Linked DNA regions of Sus scrofa. The protein of the gene in region 1 purifies or fractionates together with the protein of each later gene. This does not show direct contact. Links are inferred from orthologs where the notes say so. Each region holds a gene or a part of one and is shown on either strand. Other genes may lie near its edges.

Evidence for each region.
Region 2: the proteins of PEX19 (region 1) and NAT14 purify together in Homo sapiens (co-immunoprecipitation; 3 studies listed by BioGRID and IntAct, counting the BioPlex papers as one, with this or other methods). This does not show direct contact. The link is inferred for Sus scrofa from reciprocal best matches to the Homo sapiens genes PEX19 and NAT14.
Region 3: the proteins of PEX19 (region 1) and PXMP2 purify together in Homo sapiens (affinity purification with mass spectrometry; 3 studies listed by BioGRID and IntAct, counting the BioPlex papers as one, with this or other methods). This does not show direct contact. The link is inferred for Sus scrofa from reciprocal best matches to the Homo sapiens genes PEX19 and PXMP2.

Annotation. Positions count from the first base shown.
Region 1 is NC_010446.5:90,192,397-90,202,684, reverse strand, and holds the start of PEX19 (peroxisomal biogenesis factor 19), read right to left. Parts: upstream 5,700-10,288; 5' UTR 5,695-5,699; coding exon 5,511-5,694; intron 4,093-5,510; coding exon 3,983-4,092; exon of another isoform or gene 3,766-3,982; coding exon of another isoform or gene 3,670-3,765; intron 3,568-3,669; coding exon 3,402-3,567; intron 2,920-3,401; coding exon 2,834-2,919; intron 2,619-2,833; coding exon 2,457-2,618; intron 1,369-2,456; coding exon 1,192-1,368; intron 953-1,191; coding exon 908-952; intron 748-907; coding exon 664-747; 3' UTR 1-663. UniProt on the Homo sapiens protein: Necessary for early peroxisomal biogenesis. Acts both as a cytosolic chaperone and as an import receptor for peroxisomal membrane proteins (PMPs).
Region 2 is NC_010448.4:59,634,694-59,644,807, reverse strand, and holds NAT14 (N-acetyltransferase 14), read right to left. Parts: upstream 6,635-10,114; 5' UTR 6,519-6,634; intron 6,253-6,518; exon of another isoform or gene 6,175-6,252; intron 5,786-6,174; 5' UTR 5,742-5,785; coding exon 5,670-5,741; intron 4,892-5,669; coding exon 4,343-4,891; 3' UTR 3,741-4,342; downstream 1-3,740. Other genes in the region: soluble scavenger receptor cysteine-rich domain-containing protein SSC5D, read right to left, coding at 1-198, 540-653, 817-936, 1,668-1,976, 2,258-2,284, 2,738-3,161. UniProt on the Homo sapiens protein: Probable acetyltransferase. May act as a transcription factor that regulates the expression of coproporphyrinogen oxidase by binding to a promoter regulatory element.
Region 3 is NC_010456.5:22,792,070-22,802,435, forward strand, and holds the start of PXMP2 (peroxisomal membrane protein 2), read right to left. Parts: upstream 5,951-10,366; 5' UTR 5,744-5,950; coding exon 5,622-5,743; intron 3,206-5,621; coding exon 3,089-3,205; intron 854-3,088; coding exon 691-853; intron 1-690. Other genes in the region: POLE (DNA polymerase epsilon catalytic subunit A), read left to right, coding at 6,126-6,187, 7,523-7,664, 8,301-8,381, 8,961-9,005, 9,173-9,265, 9,573-9,727. UniProt on the Homo sapiens protein: Seems to be involved in pore-forming activity and may contribute to the unspecific permeability of the peroxisomal membrane.

The DNA.
Region 1 (10,288 bases):
AAGAACCAGGGCAGCTCTCTGAGTTCTCAGGTTGGAACCAGGAGCTGGGGGCTCTGTACCTGGAGAGAGAAGAATCCCAGCGTTTCTTTTTCAATCTACAGAGATTAGATGCAACCCCCTCACTTTCTCTTCAGAAAATTCAGAACGTCCTGAAGGTAAGAGGGTGTAGTGACAGACCTGTAGTCCCAGCTCAGGCTAAGTTTCTCCCCATTCATTCCCAAAGGCCCTGCCCAAGAGAACTGTAGAAACAGAGTCCCAGGACTCTGTCCCTGCTCCCCGGGGTCCAAGAGAGGGAGTAGAGACAAGGCACAAAGACCCTGGGTACAAAAGTGAACATTAGTGTGGCCCTACACGTTATCTTGGGAGAGGGAAGAAGATGCATGCCTTAAAACCGATGCCTCCTTCACCTGGTGGGGAGCCGGGCCTTTGCTAGCAGCAGAAACCACAATGGAACGGGCTCACAGAAATGAGCTGTGGAACAGGCCTTATTCTCAGAAAGACAGAGAGAAAGCCTCAGCTGGTATGGCACAATCTTGGGTGGGATGACAGATGGCAGTGGGCAGACCACTCCTGTAGACGACACTCCTGCCTCAGCTCCCAGTGGTTCTGCTGACTCCAGACGTTCCCCACAGCTGGGAATCAGGAAGGAAAGCGTGCTGTGTTTCACATGATCAGACATTGTTCGCCATTGGCACCTGGTGGGCCCGATAGATTGAGGGCATCCAGGTCAAAGTTGAGGCCAGGAGGCTGGAGAAGAGATGAAGGGACTCAAATAATTTCCTAATTCAGGTCAGAGCTTTTGAAGGTTCAAAAAAAGCCACAATTATCACCTTAGGTGGACCCGCTAGAGGTTACAGAGTTCTGGAAACTTGGGCTCAGATTAAAGTATATGAAAACATATACTTACCATCTCCCCAGCCAGCTCTTTTGGAGGATGACCCAAATCCTGTAGCTAGAAAATAAGGAAAGAGAAACATGAGATAGGGAAAAATCCCAGAAAACAACATGGCAGTCCAAAGGAAGAATCTGAGCTATGGTCTCTATGCTTTCTCCCGAGGACCATGCTATGTGGCCTTTCTTGTGCTCCCCCTCCCGCCATCTTGGTTTGGCAGTGGGGCATCCTTCCAGGACACCGCCTCCACTGAACTTCCAAGCAGACAGCAGCAGCGAGCAGATGGCAAGAGCCCTTACCTGCTGCATAAGATCCAGCACCACCTCAAAACGAGCCTTCTGAGTGGCCTCACTGTCTGTGGGGGTCTCAGCCTCAAATTGCTCACATATCTTGCCCATGACACTATGTTGCTCCTGATATTTTTCAAACTGCTCTGGAGGTAGAGATTCTCGGTGAACCTGCAACCATTCTGGATACTAAGAACAGAGAGAATGGGTGGGGAAGAATTAAGTGGATAATGGTTTAGTAAGAGCACTAAAATACAAACAAACACTAAAACATGAAGGGGACAGGGACAGCAAAGAAGGAAAAGCCAAATAAGCAAATTTAGCAGGAGAAGTAGCAGTGATTTCAATCAGATCACTGGGCGATGCTAGCATTCACAGTCACCAGAGGATAGCAAACTTTTCCTGTGAAGGACCAGACAGTAAATATTTGAGACTTTAAGGGCCACATAGTCTCTTTTGTTTGTTTTGACTTTACAACCTTTAAAAACCTCTTCAGGAGTTCCCCTGTGGTACAGTGGGTTAAGGATCTGGCACTGTAACTGCAGTGGCTCAGGTTGGTGCTGTGGCATGGGTTTGATCCCTGGAACTTCCACATGTCGCACACACAGCCAAAAAAAAATCTCTTCAGTAACACTATAAACTCTTTGATGGCAGAAATCATCATTTAATCTACTCTTAAAATTACTTTTGTCTTTTTAGGGCCGCACCCATGGCACATGGAGGTTCCCACGCGAGGGGTCTACTTGGAGCTACAGCTGCCGGCCTATGCCACAGCCATTGATAGCAATGCCAGATACGAGCTGCGTCTGCAACCTACACCACAGCTCACGGCAACGCCAGATCCTTAACCCACTGAGCGAGGCCAGGGATCAAACCCACAACCTCATGGTTCCTAGTTGGATTCATTTCCAGTGCACCACTCCGGGAACTGCATAATCTACTCTTAAAATTATTCATAGTTTAAAGCCAGTAAAATTCTCAGTAAAACCTTGTTGGAGAAACGAATGCAATTGGAAATGCAAGAAGGGGCTGATGAGACAGAGTCTTAGATAAGTTTACAGGAAACTAGAGCTGAAGGATTTCCCCTTCTACCTTAAATATCTTTAAGATGCAATGCCTCCCTAACTCTCTCCTTCCAAATAAATAAGGAAGAAAGAAACAAATGAACCTGTGCACTTCAGTTACTTTAACTTTGCAGGCTCTAAACAGACAAAGTAGCCCATGGAGGTTGATACAATGCAGAATGAGGAGGAAAAGCATAAATAGAAGTTCACAACCTTCTCCGTAATCTCCTTCAGTGACGGGTACAGTACATCCTTGGACAGCAGGTTCTGCATGATACTCTGCATGATGGGGAGTATGGTTCCTTCTCCATCCCCTTCTTCCATGCCCAGCCCTTCCATGGCCTTGGTCAGCTCCTCTTCTGACATGCCCGAGTTCTAGAAAGGATAGGGGAGAGGTGAGCAAGTATACTGCCTTCCTGGGATGCTGAGCAATCTTTCAGGTGGGAAAGAACTGTTTAAACTTGCCTGTAGCAAAATAGTGAGGCAGGGACAGACTTGAGGTGATACTCAAGGGAGTCTGTCTTTTGAGACTCTGCTGGTGAAGTGCCTGCGAGTGGGCCCCTTGTGGTTCCCTATCTCTTTCCCCTCACCTGAAGGTCGGTGGCATTCTTGGCTAGTCCACTTAATGTCTCCTTTAGGCAAGAAGTGAATTCTTGTTGGGAAGTCGCATCACTGCCTAGGAGAGATAAAAAGAGTCAAGGCCATTTCTGATTTCAACTGTTTGCTTGCCTAGACTGACCTGGTCAATCTTGAATACTCCAGCTTGAATATGGAGCATTTATTAGTGAATCACTGGCACGCTACATCTTTGAATTTTCTATGGTTATCTCCACAGTTATTTTCACAAATCTATGTGGACTGTGTGTCAGTCTGTTCTCCACAGTGACACCCACATTAACACTGTGACCTTTAAAATGGTCAGCTGTCAATAATTTCATCTGTTACTTCCCAAACTATCATTTCCCAACTACCCCTTTCATTAAACAGGGTCTCATTTCTCCTCCCATCTCCTCCCTTCAGTGATATCAGTGACATGGTTGTGATGGCAGTGATATCATAATTACTATCAACTTTACAAAAAAATTTTGGTGTTCTCAAGAAACAATGACCTAAGAGGTTTGTTCAGATATTTCTAGTTGTCTAGGGCCCCCTTCTCACCCACTCTCCCAGCAGCCTCTGAGAGCTTTTGGAACTGCTCTACCAGGTGGGGCTCTTCCTCAGCCAACTCTTTCATTGCCTTCTCGAACTCTGCAGTGGCTTGGGAAGCCAACTCGCTGTCGAACAGCTCCTGGAAAAACTTCTCTTGGGAGGCGAAGAGGGCATCCTGCAGGGGAGATGTGACCAAAATGCATCTCTTACTTGGCAACTCACTGCACATGGCCTCTGAGAGAAGCTCTAGGAAATGTAGTGCTCCCCTCCTACTCACCTCCACTGGACATTGACCACCTCTCTTAAAGAGGACAGCAAAAAGGCATCTGGCCACTGAGGGAAGGGTATGGAGTGGCATTCCCAATCCAACCATTTAAATCTGCTCTCTTCTTAAGGAACTTAACCTTGAGATCCCTCCCCTCAATCTCAAGTTCCTGTTTCATGAGGACTGAGGCCTGCAAGAGCACTTTGCAATGTAAGGCCAAGGCACCCTCCCCCAACTCCCCTTTGGCCCACAGGGGCCTTCCCCACCTCTGCCCAGAGCTGCATGCCCATCCCCTCCCCATCCCTTAAGCGAGTGGAATTTATACTTTGGCAGTGTCTCCTGGAGATCTCTTCTCAGGCCCCGAAGCATCAGGGGCCGTGGTGGTAGGAGGGGGTGCTGGGGAGGGTTTGGTCTTATCGAAATCATCAAGAGCACCTTCAGAGACAAGAAACATGGGGTGTTTTGGGGATGGATGAGGATGAAAGGTTGGGAGTTTCTGGGCAAAACATTAAGAGTACAAACTGTCAACTTTCCTAAAATTTTCTCCTTTAAAAGTCTCCCAGCCCACCCCTCAATAAGCCTCCCACTTCCCTACCTATTGTCTAATTTAATGTGATAAAGGGGAAGACATCCCTCAAGGTGGAACAAGCATCTCTCTTGGAGTTAGGAGAAGAGTTAAAAGATTTGCAGAGACACCTCCACCGACACAGTGCCTTCTCTGCCATACTTTAATGATTCCCTAGAAATCCCATGCAAATATCCAAGGGAGGCAGAGACCAGATGTCCTTAACCCTCTGAACTCACTCTGGAGCCCTCAAGGGAGTAATCTTGGGCAAGAGAGCAGAAGCCACAAGATGTTTCACCTAGCTTCGCATAGGTCCTTGTACAAGCTGAGAGACTCCATATTACACACCATTGGAGGGCACTGAATTCTCTTCTTTTATCTTTCAATTTAGCTCTCCCTCTCCAAAGCTCCTAGAGCTCCCTTTGGCCTCATCTCTGCCTACACCCGTGTCTGCCAATTCACACAGTCGCCTGGCACTTCTCACCGTTTCTGTTCGTCTTTCCACCTGCTCACATCTCTGTGACTCAGCAAGAGACAAAAAATATTCACCTCTTCCCTGAAAAGCCTGTGTCCTCACCATCACCCTGCTTGCCAGGCCTAGGGGTAGGGCACTGGCCCCACTCTGGGCAAGAAACCAAAAGAGGAGTGGTGGATGGGGCTAAGGAAGAAAAGTTCCGCCACCCACTTTCGAGAGGGTGAACTGCCTTCCCCTGAGGCAGTCTCACTCTGGTTCTCAAATTAAAGAGATAGGAATGGGTTTGAGCTCTGAAATGATGAAAAAATTGGAAAGGAGCCTGGTGCGAAAAAGGTCTGGGAAAAGGAAAAGACGTGTCTTTTGTGTTAAGGAGGACAGGATACTGCACATAAAGGCACGCTTCGGGCTTGCTAAGAGTTAATGGAGGCAATCCCATGGGTGTCCAGTTCTCTGCCCACCGAGCACCGAATGTGGTTGCTGGCGGGAAGAAAGTTAGGCTTCCAAGAACTTACTAAAGTAGGGGGAGTTTGGAGCGGGATCCCGAAACATCGTCCTCTGGACTAGTTTCCCTTCCGGCAAGGAGATCAACCGTCTAGGCCGCACAGGGACGCAAATGCGATCCTCAGCCTCCGCCAAGGAGGAAGGAGAGGGTGACCTAGAGATTTTCTAGGGGGTCGCAGTCAGACCCTCCGCCCCCGCCCAACCTCTGAAGAGCCTCTCCCGCTCCGCCTCCTTTATCTCGGATTCACTTGGCCCCCTGAATGCGTCCTCACACCTCCCGCCCTTCAGGCCTTTTCTATTACGGGTTCTTACTTTCCAGAAGCTCTTCCAATTCCCGGTCCGCTTCAGCCCCAACACCACCACCCTCCCCAGCGGCGGCCATCTTGCCACCTCCGACTTGCCGTAGGAGGCGGGACTGCGCGGCGCCGTGCGCCCCCCAGTTCCTGCCCCCCTGCCTCGTGCAACCAATGATATTGTTGGCCCGAGGGGCCGCCATTTTTAAAGGTACAGGAACCTTTGTTTTTGTTTGGGGTTCCCCTCTCCCCGCCTCTTTCTCCGGGAACACTGAACCAACAGAGGGGAATTTACTGTTATCTTCTGTCAGGGTTTTTACTGGCCCGGCCTCCTTTCTTTCAACTGCCCACATTACCTACAGAATTGGGCCTTTCATTATTTTTTTGAGCTGCGGGTAGGTCGACTGGGACAAATTGCGTGCAAACTAAAAGCTATGCATGTATAATCAGTAAGACAGTTATGGCACAGCCAATATGCTATTTTCCTCTCACTTTCTTCAGTATGTTACTGAAATGCCACCTTCTCGGAAATGCCTTCTTTGGCCTCATTAAATAAAATTGCAACCCCTCCCATACACTTACAGATGCTTCCTCTCTACTTCGCCTCTTTTTTTCAACACTTAACCACTATCTGACATATTACATATTTTACTGATTTATCTTTATTGTCTCTCCCCCAGGCTCCTTGGAATTAAAGCACCATGACAGAAAGGATTTCATCTCTTGTCTTCACTGCTGTAACCCCGGCTCCTTGGCTAGGGCCCAAAACTTAGTGGGCACTCATTGGCTGCTCTTTGCTCTCCAAGGCTCTAGTGAGGCATGCTTCTCTGCAGAATCTAGTGGATAGCTCTCATTTTGTATTCTCCATTAGAAATGTCACAAGAACTTAGAACCCAATGTTAGTTGAACCAGGGAGTAAGTGACTCTCGGACCTTGGACTTAAGTGAAGAGGGCAACTGGAATGCAGTAGTAATAAACCTGCCTTCTTTGACCTATTGTCTTTTCTCTTCACAGGACTCAACCCAATGAAGTTGGGGGATGCTCAGATAAAAGACAACTCCAGACTTCCCTTCCCTCCTCTGGAATTGTTCTATTCAGATTTGTCAGAATGCATCAACTGCCTCAGGAAAACCTATTTTAGCACTTACAAGGCATCTACTCTTGTTTAAGATCCTGTGCTAGGAGTTCCCTGGTGGTCTAGTGGTTAAAGATTTGGTGTTGTCACTGCTGTGACTCCGGTTCAATCCCTGGCCTGGGAATTTATGCATGCTGCGGGTGTAGCAAAAATATTTTTTTTTTTGTCTTTTTGTCTTTTCTAGGGCTGCACCCGCAGCATATGGAGGTTCCCAGGCTAGGGGTCTAATCAGAGCTGTAGCCGCCAGCCTACGCCAGAGCCACAGCAACGTGGGTGGGATCCGAGCCACATCTGTGACCTACACCACGGCTCATGGCAACGCCGGATCCTTGACCCACTGAGTGAGGCCAGGAATTGAACCCTCAACCTCATGGTTCCTAATTGGATTCGTTAATCACTGAGCCACGACGGGGAACTCCAAAAAAAATAAAAAACATTTTAAAAAATCCTGCGCTGGGCATAGTGGAGGATGGAGAGATAAGTCAAGCTGCACTCTTGCAGTAAAGCAGTTGACTGGGGATTAGGCTGGTGGTAGGATTAGACATACACAGTAAGTATGGTGCAAGGTTAAGTGTCTTAAAAGAAGTAAGGATAAAGTACCATAAAGTTTAAAAGGGAGAAGTCACATCTAATTGAAAAAAGTCACTTCATGACTTTCATCCTTAGCTTTCTAAACACACGCTTGAGTACTGCATCAAGCACCAGATTAGGTACTTACTTTTTCCTTGACATATAGAGCAGACTTTAAAAGTCACACCTGTGCAAAATTTACTGTATTCTTCCACGTGCCAGTCTGTGACTTGAGGGAAAACACTCTGAACTAGAAGTCAGAAAACCTAAATTCCAGTCCCAACTATCACTAAATTGCTTCGTTCAAATCCCTTCACCACTCTAAGCCTCTTATTACAAATATGTAACATTAAAGTTGCGACTCTAAGATCACTTCCAATTCTAAAATTCTATAATTGAATCCTTCTCTGATTAACCTTTCTCAACATTGGTAACATTTATTCCAGGCTAACTTTCTCATTCAACTCCATACTGCTTACATGTGTATCTCTAATATGGCTATCATTATTGCAGGTACACGTGACAAGTATTTCTATTGGCTTTACATTAATATAGTGTGATATATTAATAAAATAGTAGACAGTAATTGAGAAAATTGAGATGGAGTTGAAAATAAGCACAATTCTTTGTGCCCTTTCTGTCTCCCTCCTTTTCTTCCTTCCTTTCTTGTGCCACACTCAAAGCATATGTAATGTCCCTGGGCCAGGGATTGAATCTGAGCCGCTGCTGCAACCTAAGCCACAGCTGTGACAACACTGAATCCTTAACCCGCTGTGCCACAGTGGGAATTCCTTGCACTATTTCTTAAACTTACTTTGCTGTTGACACGCCTAACACCTCATCTCAGTATTTACTCACCTCCTGCCTTTCATGTATAGTGAACACTGTTGCAAAGCAGTATTTTACAGGAGTTCTCTTGTGGCACAGCGGGTTGACCCACGCCACTGCTGTGGCACAGGTTCGATCCCAGGCCAGGGAAATTCCACGTGCCACAGTATTTTACAGCATTTTCTTTATATTACTCTCCCAATTAAGAACTTAATGTCTCTCCACTGTTTGAATAGCTAACTGCAAATTCTTGCCTGTTTTTCACAATTATTTCACATTTATCCTTTTTGTTTCCCCAATTACATAAACTTCATGGGGATGGTCCACTTTTTTCATATCCCTTAGTTCAGAATGTTTATATTTGTATGCAAAATTAATTTTATAATTCAATTTTTAAGCTTACAAAAAATTTTGCCAAAATTTATAATCAACTTGCCTATGGTTAAATTTAAAAAAGAATGTCTAGGAGTTCCCACTGTGGCTTAGCAGGTTAAGGACCCAACATGTCCTTGAGGATGCAGGTTTGATCTCTGGCCTCACTTAGTGGGTTAAGGATCTGGCATTGCCAAAAGCTGCAGTGTAGTTTGCAGATGTGGCTCAGATCCAGTGTTGCTGTGGATGTGGTGGCATAGGCCTGCATGTGCAGCTCTAATTAGACCCCTGGCCAGGGAACCTCCATGTGCCGTGGCTGCAGCTGTAAAAAGAAAAGAAAGAAAGAATATTTAGGAGTTCTCCTATGGGAAGCAGTGGGTTAAGGAGCCTGTGTTGTCACTGCAGGGGCTTCGGTTGCTGCTGTGATGGGTTTGATCCCTGGCTTAGGACCTTTTTTGCCATAAGTGTAGCCAAAAAAGAAAAAATAAAAGTTCATAATTTGAGAAAGTGTTATTAAAATAATATGTAAACTTTGGAGAAGAGAGGCTTAATTTGGAGATACTATGTTTAAGAAAGCATCTCTTTTTTTTTGGCCACACCCTGCCCCACAGTATGTGGAAATTCCCTGAGCCAGGAATGAAACCCACTCCACAGCAGTGACAAAGCTGAATCCTTAACTACTAGGCCAACAGGGAATTCCAAGTATGCATCTTTTAAAGCTAAAAAGATACAAAGTCCTTCACTTTTTTTTTTTCGGTCCATGGACTACAGCTGCAAAAGTTTCCAGGCCAGGGATAGAACCCAAACCACAGTAATAATTTGAACCACAGCAGTGACAATGGAAAGTCCTTAACCTCTAGGTTACCAGGGAACTCCACAAAGTCCTTCACTCTTTGATGTAGGACTCACACTTCTGGTTTATTCTCTAGACACACTTTCCCCATTTATACAATGTATGTTCAAGTTGTTCATTGCTGCACTGTTTATAATAGCCAAAGACTGAAATAATGCAGACATCCATCAACAAGAAGGCAACTTAAATAATTTCTATTAAATCGTACAATGGTACATATGCAAAGAAGTAAAAAAAAAAAAATAGAGTGAAGCTAATATACTGATATGGAAAAATCTGTATATTACATTAAATGAGATAACAAATGAAAAATCATTAAATAGTATGCTTTCATTTAGGTATAAATCGGGGATAGGGAAGAACGTATTCATATCTTCTTGTATATACATTAAAAAAAATCTCTGGGGAGTTCCTGTCGTGGCTCAGTGGTTAACGAATCCAACTAGGAACCATGAGGTTATGGGTTCAATCCCTGGCCTCGCTCAGTGGGTTAAGGATCTGGTGTTGCCGTGAGCCATGGTGTAGGTCACAGATATGGCTTGGATCCCGTGTGGCTGTGGCTCTGGTGTAGGCTGGTGGCTACAGCTCCAATTCAACCCCTAGCCTGGGAACCTCCATATGCCTCAGGAGCAGCCCCAGAAAAGGCAAAAAGACTAAAAAAAAAAAAAAAAAAAATCTCTGGCATGATACAAAAGGGAGCTAATAATTACAGTTATCTGTTTGGGGACAGTTATAGGAACTGGGTAGCCAAAACAAGGGGTGGGAAAAAATATTACAGAATAGCTTTTTACATTTACTGATGTCTGAACTATACGAATGTGTTGTTTTGTTTTGGGTTTTTTTGTCTTTTTACAGCCACGCCTGCAGCATATGGAAGTTCCCAGGCTAGGAGTCAAATTGGAGCTACAACTCTGGCCTATGACACAGCCACAGCAACGCCAGATCCGAGGCATGTCGGTGACCTACTCCGAAGCTCACAGCAATGCCCATCCATAACCACTGAGTGAGGCCAGGGATTGAAACTGCATCCTCAAGGATA
Region 2 (10,114 bases), on another chromosome or scaffold:
TCCACACGGGCCCTGAGCCAGGGCCAAATCTGGCCCCTCCCGGGGCCGCCAGCGCGCCCCCGCAGCCCAGCTCGCGGCAGGCCACTGCGGCGTCCCGCAGGTCCCAGCCGTCGTCGCACACGGTGCCCCAGCGCCCACCGTGCCACACTTCCAGGCGGCCCGAGCACCCGTGGGGGCCAGAGACCAGGCGCAGCCGCTCTGGGGAGGGGAGCAGGGAGAGGGGGACGGTGAGGGGCCTGGTGCGAGGCAGCGGGTGATTGGAGGATTCAAGCACCCTCGTTTTCCATCTGGGGAAACAGAGACCCTGAGGGGACAGTGGCTGAGATCGGCCTGCCAGCTGGCCTTCAAGGGGACAGCCAGGCTCTGAGCAGGGTAGGGGGCATGGGCCCTGGGAGTGGATACCAGGCTAGGTGTGGGGAGAAGCGGGGGAGCCTGGGCCTGACTGGGAATCCCCAGCGCTGCGGATGCCCGGATGCCACAAGGACAGCACCTGGGGGCCTCCCCATCCAGATTGGCAGAGGGGGACCCGCGGGACTTACCCTGGCGAGGGGCTCCAGCAGTCAGCAGAGGGGCCCTAGTGGACTTGGCCTGCTTGGACGGCCTGGGGCTCTTCCTCCGAGAGGTGTTCTGAGGGGTCCCGGCTGGGCGGGGGGCTGGGCAAGGAGACAGAAGCGGGGAGGTTGGGAGCTGCACCTCCTGGGGCTGCGGGTCTGTCCCCAAAGCTCCTGTGCGTGGCGGGGGCCTTCGGGGGTGAGGAGGGCACGGGCAGCTCTCACAGCTGATGCAGGAGAGAGGGCATGGGGGGGAGCTTCTCACCAGGTGTCACGGGGGGCTCCTCCGAGCTGGGGCTCAGCTCCCCAGACAGCCCCGGCCACGGGTCCCTGTCCAGGATTGAAGGTGAGTCCTCTCGGTCCCTGGAGTCAGCCACACGCTGACCTTGGGAAGAGCAGTGTGGGGCTGGACCACACGGGCTCCGCTTTGTCGGCGCCATCCCAGGCCCGCGGTCCTGCCCGCTTCCCTCTCCGCAAGGCTGAGCTTTAGCCTCCTCACCAGGAACCCGCCCAAACCAGAGAGGTTCCCTCTCAGCTTTTACCCTTGCCTTCTTCCACTATGAACATGGGGTGGATGCCTACTGCCGATGCAGACGCCTAACGACCTAGGAGTAGTGGTGGTCATGAGACCCCCAGGTGGGGCGGGGTGGGGGGAGAACGAACGCCAGTTCCTGTTCCTGCAGACCGGCCCTTGGGTAGTCAGATGCTGTCTCTAGCGTTGGCCCCTTTAAATCTCCCTGCACCCTTTCAGGGGTGCAAAGTGCAGCTGCAAAGAAACGCCTCTGGTTCACTGTCTGCCTGAGCCTGCCTGCCTGCCTGCGAGTTCCCAACGATAAACCTCCTAATCCCACTTCAAGGAATTGCCCGCTTTGTTTATCAGTCTCAAAGGACCTTTTCGGTTCGGAGGGGGTTATTCCACATTCTCGCCATCCAACAGCCGGACGCTATGGAGCCTATGGAGGGGCAGACCCTGGGTGAGGCGGCGGCTGGGCCCTCCAGGGCCATGGTGAATCCTGGCTTTAGGGGCTGTCAAGGGTTGGGGCATCTGGACGTCTCGATTCTCAGGGTTACAGGGCTGAGGACTTGGGTTCCCAGAGAGGGCCGAGGGCGCCTTACCTGCACAGACGACACCGGCGTCCTCCTCGTGGGAGCAGATATGGGCCTTCCAGCCCCGGTGGGGGCAGAGGCCCAGCTGCCGCTCGCTGCCCCGACAGGCCAGCTCGCTCAGCCACACCGGCCCCGTGCCCTCCCCGAAGAAGGCCCCTCCAGGGGCGGCCAGCGCACCCCCGCAGCCCAGCTCCCGGCAGGCCACGGCGGCGTCCCGAAGGTCCCACCCGTCGTCACACACAGTGCCCCAGCGCCCGCCGTGCCACACCTCCAGGCGGCCAGCGCACCCATGGGGGCCATCAGCCAGACGCAGCCGCTCTGGGGGACAGAGGAAAGGCTGTGACATCCTGGAGACCCTGGGGCCAAGGGGAGGGGAGGGGCTGGGGGTGGAATGCCAGAGCGTGACTGGGAGCCAGCTCCCCCTGGCTGCTGATGCCGAATCCTGGGTGTCTGGGAGAGCAGTGGTGCCCCAGCCTCGTAGGAAGCACGGGGCTGGACGCCCAGGTGGTCCTGAGGGAAGTGGGTCCAGCAGAGGGCAAGGCTGGGCATGGGATGGAGCTGAGCAAGGCCAGAGGGAAGACGTGTTTGGGGCCACTTACCAACAGCCTGGATCCCCATCAGAGCCGCTGGAAGGGAGGTTGGAGGGGTGGGAGGGACAGAGTGAGGGCCTCACACCTCTGACCCAGAAACCCCGCTAGCTAGGAAGCAGGGCTCTGAGCCGAGGGCCTGGCAAGGTTCAGGTCCCTGAGGTGGGCGGGGCCCCAGACGCCTCAGGTCCAGGCAGGGGGCCAGCCCTTCGCGCTCCCCAGAGGCCTGGCTAAAGGTTAAAGGATGGGTGACACCCCACAGGGTCAGGGCTGGTGTGGGGGCGGCAGGTAGGTTCCTGGGGTGGGCCTAAGAGGGTGGGGCTGAGTGTGCCAGAGGCGGAGACCCTGGGGGATCAGGCCGGAGGGCAGAAGCCCCACATCCCCCGAGGAACAGGGACTGGCCCAGAAGTTGGAGGCCTCCCAGTGGCTGAGCTCAGGGGTCAGAGGGCAGGGCTCAGGCCCCTGCATCCCCGAGGAGAAGGGGTCACTCACCGAGGAGGCAGGCCAAGACCCTCATGTTTGCAGAGTCGGGGCGGGGATGGGGTGAGAGGGGACTGGAGCCGGAGAGGGAGGAGGTGGCGGCCACCGCTGGGAGGAAGGGAGGGAGGGCCGCGCCTGCCTGCTGAAGGCGCCTTGGACCCAGGGAGGAGCAGGCTGGGCTGGACGCTCTGCCAGGAGGAAGAGAGGCTGCCGAGGAGGCAGCAGGGGACAGGAGTGGGGGCGGGGAGGGGGCTGGCCGGCGCCTGAGGCCTGGGGAGGAGGGCGTTGGCAGGCGGGAGGGAGAGTGTCCAACTGCAGACACCCACGCGGGAGAAGGGCGGCCCGGCCAGGAGAAGGCACGCTGGGCTGAGATGCTCAGGGGTCGGCAGGCTGCGGGGAGGGATCCGAACTGGGGTGCACACGGGGGTGCGAGCATGGGGCGGGGCTCAATCTCCTCTCTGTTCAGCCAGGGAAGGCTGGTGGGACCAGGGAAGAGGGCTCTGAGGGTAGATGCACTTCAGCCGCCCCGGTTAGGGACCTGGCACATCTGGGGCTCAGGGCGCAGCAAGAGATGTGCAGCCAGACTCCAGGAAGGACTTTCTTGATTGAGACAGGAGACTAAGAAACCCCTCTCTCCACTCCCCTGGGGGATGTGCACACAAAGTCCCCAGCCCGCATCTGAGGGAGGGGAGCAGTGGTCGAGCTTGTGTGTCTCCTGAGGAAACTGAGGCCAGGGGTTGGGCCAATCGAGGGTCAGGCCTGAGTGGGGGAGGGCAGCCCCACACTCTCTCTCTGCACCAAGCAGCTGTGAGGCGGAAAAAATGCAGTAATGGGGAGCGTGAGTCAGAGGGCTGGCAGGGAGCAGGGCCGCCGCCGTGAGCTCACTGCATCCCCCGCTGCCAGTCCAGCACCCCCACCGACAGCTAATGTCAACCCTGGGAAAGGAGGAGCCAGCCAGAAGCGGGGGTTCAGAGACGGACTGGAAAAGGCATCAGAGAGAGAGAGGGAGATGGGCTCACAGCAGTTTCAGGTTTTATTAACAAACGAGTGTAAAAAACTAGATGGGTCTGGCTGCCCCGCTCGGCTCTCACCTTCCCAGGGAAGGGCTGGCCTGGCCGGGCAGCCCTGGGCCCACTGCCCCCCTCCCCTGGAGCTCTCTCCAGACAGACAGCCCTCCTCTGCCAAGGCTCTGCTCACCCCATCTCTGCTGCTTCTGCAGCCCCACCCCCTCCAAGCACAGGCATCAACCCCATCCAGTTCCCCAGGGGCCTTGTCCCATGAGGGGTGCCCCCGCCACGTCCTAACCCTGGGGGGGGCGTACTCGCTTAGCCTCCCTCTTCCCGCCGCACATCTCCCCAGGCCCGTGGCACAGGTGGCACAGGCGTGGCAGCCAGACGGGGAGGTCTCCCCGTGCAGAGAGAACCCGAAGCAGGGGCTGGACAGCGTGACCTCTCTGACAAGTTCAAACATGACAGGCAGACGTCAGACTGCGGTGAGGTCTCTTGCCTTCTGGCGGCCTCAGTTTTTAGGCCCTGAGTGGGCAAAGGGAGGGTGTCAAGTCGCCTGTGCACAGCAGCTGCTCTCTAAGCACTGGCTTCCTCCCTCTGGGGTCTGGAGTCACAGGTCCTTGCTGAATTCCCTCACCAGCGTGTAGCCCATGCAGCCCCAGCTCCCCTCGGCCTGGTAGCCGCAGCCCTCCAGCATCCCTGCCACACCCCACGCGGCCACGGCCACCGGGACCACGAGCCGGGCCCGGGGCTCCCCCATGCCACCTGCCCAGGCTCGAGCCCGAGATTCGGCAAAGGCCAGTAACCGCCTGCCCACACCTTGGCGGCGGTGCCAGCGAGAGACAGAGAGGCGGGTGACCCGGGCCCCATCCCCAGCGCTAGAGCCTGGGGCCAGAGCCAGGACCCCGCACACATCCCCCGAGCCCCGCACGGCCACCCAGGGTCCCCCTAGGCCACCCGGTGGGGGCAGCGAGCCCCACCGGGCCCGCAGACCCAGCTTCATGGCCGCCACAGCCAGGAACACAGGCAGGAGCAGGGCCAGAGCAAAGGAGGCCAGGACGAAGCGCAGGCCGCTGCTGGCAGCCGCCAGGAGGAGCAGGGCTGGAGGCCGCGTGAGGGCGTGGAGGGCCACTCGGTTCTCTGTGTCCTTCACACCAGCCTGCGGGCAGGAGGAGCAGTCAGAGCGGTGGGGCTCCCGTGGGGAGCAGGGACTGGGAGGGGGGGCGGACCCTGCTGGGGAGGGATCTGAGGCAAAGGGATGGCACTGAGCTGGGGCCTGTGGCAGAGGGGCTTGCGGGCACATCTGCCGCACAGGGGTTTAATGAGCAAGCAGGTGACTCAGGAGCTTGGCGGCGGCGGGTGTGTGTGTGTGTGGGGGGTCCTAATTCAGTGGAGACACAGGCCCGAGGCACCAGAGAAGGCTAGATGGAGGAACTGCCCCAAGCCAGAGCAGGATCACAACCCTGGACAACAGGAGAGGAAGCTGGAGGGGGAACCTGGGGGCACTCGAGGGCTAGGCTGAGGCCCGAGGGCTCTACTTTGAAGAGTGTGGGCGAGGAGGCTGGGGGCAGGGCAGCCTGGGAAGTGGGGAAAATAGGGAAGGAGTGGGTGCGTGGTGGGCTGCACAGCCCTGGAACCGTTAAAACTCTTCTGGACCCCCAGGGCACACAGAAGGTACTAAAAAGGGAAGGGGCCAAGCCAGGAAGTCCCTCAGGAGGAAAAAATAGCTCTCCAGGGATCAGGGCTGGCTCAGCGCGGCTGCAGCCACTCACCCCCGCCCCTTCCCAGGCAGGGTTCCGGTGCCCCCTCATTCTGTCCCCGTCTCCTCCAGAGCACGCGGGTGTCCAGCCCTCCCTCACTGCCCTCCACCCTCTCTGGCTCCTTGGCGCCCCGCCACCCAACGCCCCAGGCCCCCTGGCGGCCCTGCCCATTCTCACCTTCAGCATCTCCAGCACTAGGGGTTTCTCATCTTCCCTCATCTCCCGCACTGATAGATGGCTGGGTGCCATGGCAGCCCCCAAGCTCCTGCGCCCCCAAGGGAGCAGGCGCGCACCTGGCGAAAATGAGCAGGTCAGCGTCAGGAGGGCACCTCTGCTCCCCAGAGCGCCCCAGAGCTGCGGACCCGCAGCAGCATCTCCCGGATGAGAACAAGGAGGACAGTCGCGGCCCCAAGCGAGGTCCGAGACAGAACAGGGTTCCCTCTCAACCCGACCACCACTTTAAAGTCTCCCGGGAGGCCTCTCGGCCCCCAGGGGCGTTCAGCGATCTACGCCTGAAGGCCCCGTGTACGCCAGCACTTGGCAAGGCCAGGCTCCCTCCCAAGTTCCGTGGCTGCCCGACGGGTGAACGAAACTCCCCCTACAGCCAGGGAATGGACCGAGCTCCCCACCCCCCAATCGCCCCCGAAAGGGGTCTGTCGCAGGCACAAGAACTTGCAAACACCTCTGCGGGTCACTTTGCTTTTGACAAGTGTGTGTGGGGGGGAAGCAGGGTCTGGAAGGAGTAGCCGGCGGAAGTGACGTAATACTCGCGCACTGTTGTGGGGGTAGGCAGCGCCTGCCCTCAGCCTTAGCAACCACGGTCAAGCTTCTGGAGGGGGGATGAGGAAGGAGGGCGTGGGCTGGGAAGAGACTAGGGCAGGAGCAGCGACCCTGCGGCGGGGAGAAAGGGAAATGGGGAAAGGAGGGCTGTAGAAGGACCAGAGCCGATAGGGGTTGGGGAGGGGGTGGGATGGGGGGGATGGGAACTGTGGACCCGGCAGGGTGGGGGCGGGGAGCGGTACTTACCCGACGCGCGAAGGAAACACACGCTGGCCTCCCGAGGTCGCCTGGTTGCTCAGCAACCGGAGCGCAGGGGGGCGGGACGGCGAAGAGAGCGGATCAATGCTCATTGGTTCCGGAGCCTTCGCGGGAGGGGCCACGTCAGCATCCTGAGCCCTCTCGCTCTCACACTGGCCAACCCTAACCCACCCGGGCTCGGTGACTTTCGTGATGCGCATTCCCACCCACTCATCCATTTTTCCGTGTGGGGGGGTGACTTACGGCGAACAAGTGCCGGAGCAAGGATTTCCAACGCATCCCCCTATAATGATCCCTGCATCTCTTCTTTTTAGGGATAAACAGAGCCCCACATAGGAGAAGCGTCTGGCCCCAAGACGCAAAGCAAGCCACCTGAGAACCAAAACACAAGTGAGACTCCAAGTTCCCAGATGGTGGCTACGGCCATAACAAGGACCTCCCAGACCACCAATAAAACAAAAGCACAAGAAAGACGATTCTGGTCTTTATTAGCAAGCCCAGCCTGCAGCTCCCCTGCCCACAGTTCAGCTCAGCCCAGCCAATGCGGACAGTGAGTCAGGGTCTCTGTGTGGGGCGGGAAGAGGTACCAGTGGTTCTACTCAAAACGTGTGCACCAGCTGGACTGCGGGCAGAGTCTGGACAATCTGGATGGAGGGTAGGCCCTGTGGGGTCATACCCCCAGGTGCAGCTCCAGCAGGGACCACTTGGACCATCTGGGAAGCAGGAGCCCCAGGGATGCCCGCTGGAGTAGAGGCTGGGCCCGGTGGTGGGGTCAGCAGCTGCAGTGCAGCGGTACCTCCCCCCACGCTACTGTTCTCCAGCAGGTCGGTGGCTGCAGCACTGCGGATGATGAGCAGTTTCTGTCCCGGTGGGCCAGGGGCTGGAGGCTCTGCCAGCCCTGGGGGTAGGGTCTCTACCTCCTGCACGCACAGCTGCGTCTGCTCCCCGTCAGCCCCGCTCAGCACTAGCACACTCTGCAACCCCTCATCCGTCTGCAGCGTCTCCAGGAGCACATCCTGGACCACACCTGTGCTGGCCTCACCATCACCAGGCTCCCCAGAGCCAGGTGCTGCCAGCAATTCCTCAGCTGCCCCACCTTGAACCACCAGCAAGTTAGGGGCCTCGGTGGCCACGGCTCCCCCACTGGAACTGGACAGCTGACCTGCCACAGGCTGGAGCTGGACCGTGGTCACCTCCTGGGCCGGCTGGAGCTGGACCGTGGTCACCTCCTGGGCCGGCTGGAGCTGGACCGTGGCCACCTCCTGGGCCGGCTGGAGCTGGACTGTGGTCAGTTCCGGCGCTGGCCGAAGGGGCTGGAGCTGGACCCCACTCACTTCCTGTGGCCCTGTCTCCCCACCCCCCACATTCTGCAGAACTATAAGGCTCTGCCCACCTGTGCTGGCTGTGGTGTTGCTCCCTCCCTGAACCCCCAGTCCCCCAGGGCCTGGCAGCCAAACGACCCCAGCCCCCTGACCAGCCTTCCCCACTGTCCCTGGGCCCTGCCTTGCACGGCTGCCCCCACCACCAGTACCAGAGGGAAGCAGGATGAGTTTGGGGGGTGCAGGTGGGGGCGGGGGTGTGGGGGGCTGGACGCTGCTGGGAATCAGCTGGAGGCCCTGTGCGGTCTGCACCAGGAGAAACGTCTGGGAATTGGGGGCTGCTGGGCCCAGCGGTGGGGCCTGGGCCGTACCCCCTGCCACCTCTAGGGAGAGTGTGGCTTGGAGGTGGGGGAGGACGTGGACATCTTGGGTAGCAGAAGGGGCTGGAGCGGCAGCCAGTGGGGCAGGGGGCTGGGGGCCGGCAGGGGGGACTGCAGAGCCAGAAGCGGTGTTGGCCGGGGCATGCGTCCTCAGGTGCCGCTGCAAGTAGGCGGCCATGACAAAGCTGCGGCCGCAGATGGGGCAGGCGAAGGGCCGTTCAGCAGAGTGCGTACGCTGGTGCAGCAGCAGGTTGGAGGAGTGCGTGAAGGTCTTGGGGCAGAGCGGGCAGCGGAACGGCCGCTCGCCCGTGTGCACGCGCTGGTGCTGCCGCAGGTTGGAGGTCTGGGCGAAGCTCTTGCCGCAGACACCACAGGCGTGGGGCCGCTCGCCCGTGTGCACGTGCCGGTGGCGCCGCAGGCACGACGTGTTGCGGAAGGCTTTGCCACACTCCCCGCAGGCATAGGGCCGCTCGCCTGAGTGCAGCCGCAGGTGGTACTGGTAGTGCGAAGACCACTTGAAGGTGAGTCCGCACTGGCTGCAGGTGAAGGCCCGCAGGCCCGTGTGCACGCGCTGGTGGATGGCCAGCAGCGACGAGCGCTTGAAAGCCTTGCCACACTCGCCGCACTGGTAGGGCCGCTCGCCTGTGTGATCCCGCAGGTGGTAGCGCAGTCCCGACGAGCCCTTGAAGGCTTTCCCGCACTCGGCGCACTTGTACGGCCGCTCCACAGAAGCGGGGGCGGGCGTGGGGGCCGGCGGGGCGGCGGCAGGGGCCAGGGGTTCCTGGGGACAGGTAACCTCAGCAGCCTCGGCCTGCGGGGGCGGGCGCCCGGCCGCGGCCTCTTCCACGTGGCACTGCTGGTGCGCCAGGAGGCTGGCCAGCTGCGGGAAGGCGCCGTCACAGCTGCCGCAGCGGAAGGCCTGCCCACCCGCAGCCCCGTGGCTGTGCTGGTGGCGGGAGAGGCCAGCCACCGTCCGGAACGACTTCCCGCAGGGTAGGCAGGCGAAGCCGGGGGCGGCGGCGGCGGCGGCAGGGGGCTGCGGCAGGGGGGAGGGCGGCGGCGGCGGCGGCGGCGGCGGCGGGGCGGCCTTGGGAGCCTCTGTGGGCGCGTCCTGGGGCGGCGGTGGGGGCGGCGCCTCCGGCCCGGGGCAGGGCTGGTGCTCCAGGAGCAGCTCCTCGCTGCCAAAGCCCAGCTCGCAGCCGTCGCAGCGGAACACCAGCTCCACCGTGGTTTCGGCCGCGGCCAGAAAGAGCTCGGGCACCACGGGCGGGGGCGCTGGCGGCGGGGGCGCTGGGGGGCTGGGGGGCTGGAGGTGCCGCTGCAGGTAGGCCTCGGGAACCAGGCCCTTGCTGCCAGGCTCCCGCGGGGGGCGGGGGCGGCGCCGGGGGCGGGGGCAGGCGCGGCGCTGCCGTGGGTGCGCTGGTGCAGCAGCAGGTTAGAGGAGTGCGTGAAGGTCTTGGGGCAGAGCGGGCAGCGGAACGGCCGCTCGCCCGTGTGCACGCGCTGGTGCTGCCGCAGGTTGGTGCTCTGCGTGAAGCTCTTGCCGCACACGCCGCAGGTGTAGGGCCGCTCGCCCGTGTGCACGTGCCGGTGGCGCCGCAGGCTGGACGAGTTCTTGAAGGCCTTGGTGCAGTCCGGGCACGGGTAGGGCCGCTCGCCCGTGTGCTGGCGCAGATGGTACTGGTAGTGTGACGACCACTTGAAAGCCAGGCCGCACTGGCCGCAGGTGAAGGCCCGTAGGCCCGTGTGCACGCTGCGGTGGATCTGCAGCAGCGACGAGCGCTTGAAGGCCTTGGGGCAGTCGGGACACTGGTAGGGCCGCTCCCCCGTGTGGCCCCGCTGGTGATAGAGCAGGGCGGAGGAGCCCTTGAAGGCCTTGGGACAG
Region 3 (10,366 bases), on another chromosome or scaffold:
CTAAAAAAATAAAATATGTAGGGCTACAAAAAATCCAATTATACTGAAGTACAGCTATCAAAATATTCAGAAAACAATTTTATGATAGACTGGTACATGTGTTTTTTTTTTTTAGGGCTGCACCTGTGGCATATGGAAGTTCCCAGGCTAGAGGTTGAATTGGAGCTATAACTGCCGGCCTACACTGCAGCCACAGCAACACCATGGGATCCAAGCTGCATCTGTGACCTATACCACAGCTCAGGGCAATATCGGATCCTCAACACACTGAGCCACAACGGGAACACCCTGTGCTTTTTTTTTGGCTGCCCCCTTGCCATGTGGAAATTCCAAGGCCAGGGACTGAACCTGCACCACACAGCAGTGACAATGCTGAATCCTTAACTTGCTGACCTACCAGGGAACTCGTGCATGTGTTTCTTTATTAACATACTCAGTGATGGGACCTGGCTGCAGGTATAAAGAATGATGGAGAACACCCACTACCTGGGATTGCTACCACAAGCCAACAGGCGCTGCTGACCCAACTGAGGCTTGCTTCCAAAGTTCACAAAGGAAAATGTGAATTTTCAACCTGAGTGTAGTGAGGAGTTCACAGACTCTCTGAAGTCCAAGCACAGGTGCCAGGTTAAGAATCCCCATGCCCCGAGGAAGAGCTGTCAATGCCTGGGTGCTACTGCAGACACCAACCTCCAGGAAGTTCATGATGAGGAAGAACAACAACAGGAAGGCGGGTGCGAAGAGGAGCCGGTCCAGGAGGAGCCTCTGGACGCTGGCCCAGGGGGCCTCAGGAGGGATCCAGTGCTCCAGGAAGAGATAGAAGAAGTGACTCAGCGGCCCTGTGAAGAAGAACCTGAGGCCGGCAGAGGGGGTGAGCGGGACACACCCTTCCTGGGTCCAGCTTCACCTCCCAACCCCGGATCCTGCACCCTGCCTCCCTGAAGTCCCTCAGCCCTGACTGCACAGGTTTGTGAGGTCCTTCTTGAAAATATGCTATGAATTTACTTCCAGCTTTTTTTTTTTTTTTTTTTTTTTTTTGCCTCTGACAGGCCAGGCTTATTCCTGCCTCGGATCCCCTGCTTGTCACATGGCTGCTTCCTTCCCAACACCACTGGCTTCGAGCGCTCCTCCCAGATGGTCCTGAATAACGAATCTACTACTGTCCCAGCCACTCTATATTCCAGGCCCTGTTTCATTTTCTTCAGCGCATTTAGCACTGAATGTCATGAACTCATTTGTTTAGAGTGACTTCTCTTCACCCCTAGAGGGTAAATGCCATGAAACAGGGTCTGTCTGCTCACTGCTGTGTCTGCAGTACCTAGAACAGGGCCTGGCTCAGAGAAGGTGCTAGGTAGTAAGCAAATAAATGGATGCTTTGCCTGGTGTTTGAGCTTTTCAGCAAATCCTCTGGGATCGCTAACAGGGCTGACACCTGATGCGCTGGCTTGTCTGTATTGCTACTATTCATTCTAAAGTGCACAGAGTACTCAGGAGAGGCCTGAACCCAGCCACCAGGTCTAACAGGATGACAGACCTGAGGCTTCAGAAGATCCAGGATCAAAAGATGGGCAGGGGCTCTGGGTGCTTCCAGGTAGACACCAAAAGTCCTTAAACAAGCAGTTCTCACTTGACTGTCCCCTTTCCCTGCCCTTTCACCTTTCATAGAATGTTAAGTGGTCCAGAGCAGGGCTTTTCAGGTAGAAGAAAATGTAAATCTTGGGGATGGAAGCTGAATGGACAAGTTCTTCCAGGCGATTCTGATACCCTCTCCCCTCTTGGGGTTGGGGGGGGTTAGGACTTTATTTACGTATTTTCTTTTTTAGCTGCCCACTGGCATATGGAGTTCCTGGGCCAGGGATCAGATCCACGCTATAGATGCAACCTATGCCACAGCTGAAGTGATGCTGGATCCTTAACCCACTGTGCCAGGGCTGGTATCTAACTCAGCGATCCCAAGATGCCACTAATACTGTTGTGCCACAGCGGGAACTCCAGATTTTTTTTTTTTCTTTTTTTGGTCTTTTTGTCTTTTTAGGGCCGCACTTGCGGCATATAGAGGTTCCCAGGCTAGGGTCTAATTGGAGCTGTAGCCGCTGGCCTATGCCGAAGCCACAGCAACGCCAGACCTACAGCACAGCTCACGGCAATGCTGGATTCTTGACCTGCTGAGCCAGGCCAGGGATCAAACCCGCAACCTCATGGTTCCCAGTCGGATTTGTTTCCGCTGCGCCACTATGGGAACTCCTAGAACTTTAAATACATTGTGGAAAAGCTGTGATGACTCAAGTTAGCATGCTTACAGATATAAAAATATTACTTGCGAATTCTGAATTAAAAAAAAACAACACTTTTATTGCCAAAGACTTCAGAATATCCATCACTGCAAACACTACTGTTGCCAGAGAACTCAGAGTGGATTTAACTGGTAAAACTGCTGAATTTCTGTGCTTTTGCAATTCAAAAAGTGGTTCAGAAATGACAATTTTCAGGATCCCTAAGTATTTCTTTTCTGTATGTTTATGCTACAAAAATAGCAACACAAACTAACTGGCTGTATTTGGGTCTGGATTCCTCTTTCAGGATCTGCGGGTCTTGAAGTATGATTTTAGGTTCAGGCCATCCGCTCTCAGGTGTCTCAGCCAAATTAAAACGGCCACCCCCACCCACCTGTGTAATTCAAACTAAAAACCAGGGGGAGGGAGTGGGATGGTCTGGGAGTTTGGGGATAGTAGATGCAAACTACTGCATTTGGAATGGATAAGTAATGAGATCCTGCTGTATAGCACAGGGAACTATATCTTGAGATGTAACATGATAGAGGATAATATGACTGGGCCACTTTGCTGGACAGCAGAAATTGACAGACCATTATAAATTAACTATAATAGAAAAAATAAAAATCTTAAAAATAAAAACCAAATGAAACCATAAGTGAAGTTAACCTTATCCACCACTCTGATATTTTCCCCATAATGACATCAATGCTTCTGCAAAATTATTTTTCCAAATTAGACTATGCCAGGTCTTGACCTGAGCTTTGTGGCACTGAGCCTGCTCTTGAGTAAACCAGCCCCTTTGGGGAACTCACCCATAAATGGCATATCTGAGAGGCCCATTGACATCTAGCTTTTGAGAACAGCTTTCTTTTTTCTGCTTCTTCTCAATCATCTGGGCCAGGAAGTTCCCAAGTGCTGACAAAATGCCACTGTGGACAGAGAGGTATTCAGAAAACAGAAATGACCTACAGGAGGCATCTGATGTTCCTGCATGAAATTAGCATGGCAGGTCTACGAACGTGCTTGGGACGGGTAGACATGAACCTTTATTAGAGCAGCCAAAATATAAGTTCTCCATCTCAAAAGCTGGAGATGATAGAACTTAATACACATGCACACACACACACACAAGCACAGTAAGATTTCCAATTGGTAGGTTGTACTGATGTCATATCCTGCTTGTGATATTATTCTATAATTTTGCAAGAAGCTACTGTGTGGTTATAAAAGGGCAACAGGAGGGATCCTTATTTATTTATTCGATTTTTTCTGCTTGTAAGGGCCAAACCCATATCCTATGTAAATTCCCAGGCTAGGGATCAAATTGGAGTTGCAGCTACCAGCCTACACCATAGCCATAGCAAGAATCTGAGCTGCGTCTTTGACATACACCACAGTTCACGACAACACTGGATCCTTAACCCAAGGAGCGAGGCCAGGGATCGAAACCGAATCCTCATGGATACTAGTCATATTTGTTTCTGCTGTGCCACGATGGGAACTCCCAGGAGGGATCCTTATGATGAAACTATTTTTGCATTTTGACTACAGTGGTGGATACACATACCTGTACATGTGTTAAAATTGCATGTAACTAAACATACACACAACCACACACTCATGGATGAGTACAAGAAAAGCTGAGGAAGTCTGAATAGGATCTAGGGATTGTATCCACATCAGTGTCCTGATTGTGATACTGTACTATAGTTTGACAAAATGTTGCCAGTGGGGGAAACTGGGAAAAGCAAAAGGGATCTCCCTGAGTTATTTCTTACAGCTGCATGTGAATCTACACTTATCACAATAAAATTTTCAAAAAAAAGGTGGAGACAGGCCTAGGTGCTCAAAGGCTTGGTCTACGGCTGCCTTCTGAGAAGATCTCCAATCTATAAAATGTGAAATTCTTAGTAGGGGCAATAAGGACCCTCTTGACCTGATCCTTGGCTACGTGTTCCTCAACCTCTCCTTTGCTCACTGTTCTTTTTCTCCAATGGCACAGACCTTCTTTCCAGGTCTCCATTATTAGCTTGCTCCTCCCTCAAGACCTTTGCATCTACTGTACCCTCTACCCTCTGCTTTCCTTCTTTGCATGGCCTGCTCCCTCCCTTCCTCAGGCATGTATGTATGTATGCATGTATGTACGTGTGTGTGTGTGTGTGTGTGTGTATGGGCCCACTCATAGCATGCAGAAGTTAGTTCCCGGCCCAGGGATTAAATCCCTTCCACAGCCGTGACTGGAGCCATAATAGGGACTATGCTAGGTCCTTAACCCACTGAGCCACCAGGGAACTCTGTCAGGCCTCTATTTCAAGCTTTGTGGGTTTTTTTGGGTTTTTTTTTTTTTTGTCTTTTTAGGGCTGCACCCATGGCATAATGAGGTTCCCAGGCTAGAGTTCAAATCGGAGCTGTAACTGCTAGCCTATACCACAGCCACAGCAACACTGGATCCAAAACACATATGCAACCTACACCACAGCTCAAGGCAATGCCAAATCCTTAACCCACTGAGCGAGGCTAGGGATCAAACCTGCATCATGGATGCTAGTCAGATTCGTTCCAGCTGAGTCACGACAGGAACTCCCCAAGCCTCTATTTAGATGTCTCCTCTTCATATAAAACTCCCCTGACCACTTTATCTGTTACATATTTTTCTGCTTTTTGTCTAGTTCTTTCTTCCAACACAAGCTCTGTCAGGGTAGGGCCCTCACCTACTTATCTTAATCGCTGCTCACATTTACCGAAGCCTGAATTAGTAAAAGGGGACACGCTTGTAAAATTGATAATTTAAAAGTAATTAAGGGGAAAATGGCTCATAAAAAAATTAATACTCCAAAGAATAGGGCCGAGCTAGCCAGCAGCACTGGGGGCGCTTTGTCAGCTTTCTCTCAAAGCGAGAGAAAAAGCAGCTGGAGAAAACAAGACTTAACACCTACCACCCGTGTAGCCTTCCCACGCCTTTCCCAAAGGCATGTACCTCAACGCCATTCTAATCCTCAGAACAAATGAGTACTAACCAGCCGCAAGGCAGCAGCAGATGGCAGGTGACAGACCTCTCTCCCAGCCCCATTCACCTCGGACGGGCGTTACCCCCAGAGCAGAGGGGCTGAGCTCGTGCGCTCCTTTACTCTGGTCCCTGGGTCCGTATTTTTAGGAACCGAACGCACTAGACCGCACGTGCTCAACTTTCCGGTGAATTTAAGATCTCTGGAGGGTTGTTTCGACGCACGGGGATTTTGCCTTTCACACTCAGGCCCCCACGTAGAATACATCTATGGGGCTGGGTCACCGAGTCGTTCGAGCTCCAGGTCGCCCCCCGCCCGCGCCCGTTCCCTCCGCGCCGACCTGGTGGCCGCCTTGGTGAGCACCGGGTAGAGCCGCAGAAGGCGCAGGTACTGGGCGAGCGCCCGCCGCGGGAGCGCCCCGAGCCCGGCTTCGGTCCGCAGTTTCGACGCTGCCGGGGCCATAGTCTTTCCTGAGCCGCGCCCGCCAGGGGCACCGACCCCACTGTGGGCTACCTGAGTGCGGGGTAAAGGGCGCCGGGCGCCGGGCGGGGAGGGCCGGACATTTCCCGCCCCGCCGCGGGCCGCAGGGCCGCCGGGGACAGACCCTAGGGTGAGCGACACACGCCTCCGCGGACTTTTTCCCGAGTCCCTAACCAGCCCCCACCCCCCCCTAGGGCGCCAGCTGCGATTGGCGCTCGGTTGGGCGGGGCGCAACACGCCTCCTGATTGGGCCGCGTTGGCGGTGGGAGGGGCCGCCTTCCGGTATCTCGCGAGATTTGGTGGGAGCGCGCCAAATTTCTCCAGGGAAGTGGTAGCGGCGGCAGTGCAGGCGCAGCACGGTGCGATGGTTCTGAGGAACACCGGGCGGCGGCGCGCGGAGCCCGGCCCGGAGGGCGAACCCAGCCGGTGAGGGGCGGCCTGGCCTCCCGGGCATGCAGAGGGCGGGCTCGGCCGCCCTTCTTTTCCGCCAGAAGCGGCGAGAGCGCTCTGGGCGCTCTCCGCGGCGGCAAGACTGGGGTCCGGGTTTGAGAGTCGGGGGTCTCTCTGCTGCTGCCCCTCGCCCCCGAGGTGCCGCCTCTGCACCCCCGTCAGCTTGTTCGAGGCCCTCGCGAGTGGCCCAGCGGAGGCGCGGGTGGGGAAGGGACGCCGGATGAGAGGAGTGTCTCTGGGACTGAACCGAGAGGAGGGACTGCGCGGGAACCTGGGCCTTTGCCGACTCTTCACCCTGCGGGGTAGTTCCTAGGAGGGGCTGACAGGCGTCCCTGTCAACGCCACCGTCGCTACCGGTGACCACAGAGAGCTGGCTGAGGCTTTGTGCTCTAACCTCCAGCCCCCCCCCCCCCCCCCGCGCTACGCGGCATTTGTGCTGGAATCGAGGCGGCAGAGATGCGAGGCATGGACCCGGGTTCTCTCCCTATCCGGCCCCTTGCTTCCCTCGGACTCGCTGCATTCCTTAGGGCGGCGGATGCCAGCGAAGCTGCCAAAGAAGAGTCGCTTTTGACTTTTCGCAGAGTGCTCGGACAATGTCTCATTTAGTAAACAGTCAGTATGGTAGTTATCTTTGTTACTGTTGTCTCCATTTTTCAGATTTTCTACTGCCACGGGATAAACAGTGAGTTATACAGCTCCCCAGAAAAGCCTCGAGAGGTGATATGGTCCAAGTGAGCAGTTTTCGAATCCACTTAATCCCACTCACTTGGTAACAGGATGGCACCCATGCCGTGGTATTTGGAGGAATGCAGTACAGAGGGCTCCCCGCCCACGGGGCGATCCTCCATAAGTAGTATTTCATTCAGTCTTGATCTGATAAAAGTTATCTTATTGGGAGTTGCAGTCCTGGCACAGTGGAAACGAATCCGACTAGGAACCATGAGGTTGCGGGTTCGATCTCTGACCTAGCTCAATGGGTTAAGGATCCGGCCTTGCCCTGAGCTGTGGTGTGGGTCGAAGACGCAGTTCGGTTCTGGCGTTACTGTGGCTCTAGCATAGACCAGCAGCAACAGCTCTGAAGAAGGTTATCTTTACTCTAGCAAGGCCTGAAATACAGTTTTTCTGCATTTTTGATCTAAGGTGAATCCAGAGATTTTTATTTTATTTTTGGTGGGCAACTCTGCAGTCTGTGGAAGTTCCTAGGCCAGGGATTGAACCCATGACACGTCTGAGATGCTTACTCTGGAGGGATGAGGTTGGGGGGGTGGATGGTGTCATCAGTGGAAACTAGACCGTCCTGCTTTCCCTCAGGGATGATGGCCCCTCTTCCTCAGTCTCTGCGCTCAAGCGCCTGGAGCGCAGTCAGTGGACGGATAAGATGGATCTGCGGTTTGGGTTTGAGAGACTCAAGGAGCCTGGTGAGAAGACAGGCTGGCTCATCAATATGCACCCCGTAAGCACGTGCTTTCCTCCGACTTCCCGCTCCCGTGCAGGATTGGGCTGCATCCTTGTGGCATAGCCCTGGTCTGAAGAGTAGGTGACACCTGGCAGGAACCTGTTTGGGCGATATGGGTGGAGAGGAAATGGCTCTCCTACTTTGTTCTTCTTTAAATTTCTTTGGGTCATTGTCATGGTACAGTGGAAACGAATCTGACTAGTGTCTATGAGGATATGGGTTCTATCCCTGGCCTCACTCAGTGGGTTGGGGATCTGGTGTTGCCCTGAGCTGTGGTTTAGGTCACAGAAGCAGCTCAGATCCTGAGTTGCTGTGGCTGTGGTGTAGGCCAGCAGCTGTAGCTCTGGTTCGACCCCTAGCCTAGGAACCTCTATATGCCAAGGGTGCGGCACTAAGGAAAAAAAAGTTTGTTTGGGTCATAAAAACGCCACTGGGTTGACTGAGGTGAGGGGCATCTCTGTTACCCCTAAGAAATGAGAGGGAAAAGAGAAATTCCCATCTGGAGGCTTTTATGATGTGGTTCTTGTGAGTGGGGCTGGTGTTTTTAAGTGCTAGTTTCCCAGAGAAAGAGGAAAAGGCTCTCATACTGTGTAGAGGATAACCTTGTGCCCGTGTTGACTGATTTTCTTGTAGACTGAGATTTTAGATGAAGATAAACGCTTAATTAGTGCAGTGGATTACTACTTTATTCAAGATGATGGCAGCAGATTTAAGGTAAGCCTTTGAACCCCGAGAAGCAAAAAACCCCTCAGTAATGAGACATAGCTGTACCCCAAATGACAAGTGTTCTTTTAGCTCTGTACCTGTGAGGTGAGAGGGGATGGGAGGCCTGTAGTGCACAGCCACCCAAAGCTCATCAGGAACTTGGGTCCCTTGGAGCCGCATTAGTCGCTTAAGATGCCCTAAGAGGAGTTCCTGTTGTGGCTCAGCAGGTTAAGACTAGTAACCATGAGGATGTGGGTTTGATCCCTGGCCTCGCTCAGTGGATTAAGGATCCGGTATTGCTGTGAGCTGTGGGGTAGGTTGCAGATGTAGCTTGGATCTGGCATTGCTGTGGCTGTAGTGTAAGCTGGCAGCTGCAACTCCACTTCGACCATTGACCTGGGAACTTCCATATGCAATGGGTGTGACCCTAAAAAAAAAAAAAAAAAAAAATAGTGCCCTAAGAGAAGCTAGCTTGGAAGGAGTGCAAAATGGTCAGTGTTGTGTCCCTTATATTCCTCAAACAACCTGTCTTCATTTTTTTCCCTTTTTTCTTTTTCATCCCCCCTGAATGGGTGGTGACTCTTGCAGGTGGCCTTGCCCTACAAACCATATTTTTACATTGCCACCAGAAAGGTAAGTCTGTAATTCATGGCATCAGGTCAGATGACTTGTGTCTCATTCTTTGGTTGGGGTGGGGGTAGGGGCTTCATAACTGGACATAAAGAGGTTTCTGGAGAAATAGGCAAGGAAGGAAATCATTTATACTAACGGGAAGTCCTTTCATTCTAATCCTGATTTAGGGTTGTGAACGAGAAGTTTCATCTTTCCTCTCTAAGAAGTTTCAGGGTAAAATTGCTAAAGTAGAGACTGTCCCTAAAGAGGATCTGGACTTGGTGAGTATCACCCAGCCCTTTAAGGGTAAATGAGGCCAGGCCCACCCTGCTTGTGGGGTGAGATGGGAAGAGGACAAGTTAGCACTTGTGGGGCAGGGCAGGTGTTGGGCTTTGGTGACTATCCCCACATCCTTTTAGAGGACTCTAGTGGCTTGCTTGGTGCCACATGCAGAGTTGGACAAGGTGCTTTGGAGTTGCCAACTCTTCAACTCATTGAATTACTTTTGAGTTGTTCTCCCCTTATTTTCTCTCCCCCGTAAAGTGTTTTTTCTCCTGAACTCACGAGCACCATTTGTTTACTCTGTAGCCAAATCACTTGGTGGGTTTGAAGCGAAATTACATTAAGCTGTCCTTCAACACTGTGGAGGACCTTGTCAAAGTGAGAAAGGAGATCTCCCCAGCTGTGAAGAAAAACCGGGAGCAGGGCCACGCCAGCGATGCCTACACGGCCATGCTCTCCAGGTGAGCTTCATTCCTTTAAGCATGGCAGCGGGGCAGTCCACAAGGACTGTTTCCCATTTTTTCCTGAGTTGACAAGATGGGTAGGAGGGGAAAAACTCAATAATAAAGTTACCTTAATGATTGGCTTCAATCACTGTGGAAACACTTTTGAGCAATAAGGTAGACTTTCTCTTTTTGGGGGCTGCGTCCACGGCAGAAGTTCCCAGGCCAGGGGATCGAACCCACATCCTCATCATCCTCATGGGTACTAGTGAGATTTGTTTCCACTGAGCCACAATGGAACTCCCATCCTAGACTTTCTTGTATGGTCTATTTTTGTTAAATGAATGGTGGCTTTTCAGCCTATATTTTTAGCTGTCCCTCTTTTTTTACATAGTGGTAGATTTGTGGCTCCAAGTTGAGTTGCTGTAACAGTAGACATTTTAGATTCCTAATCCCACCACCTTAACACCATCTGTTTTCACTGTCTATTTATAGCAAGTGCTAAGTTGTCTGCAAATGGTATTGAGTACCTAGATTTACATAGTACAATCTTCTCCAGAGAACCCTGGGGTTATACAGAGAAATTTAAAAACAGGACGCCAAACACCGTTCATTGAACATTTAGACATTAACCGTAATAGGTAATAGGATAAGAGA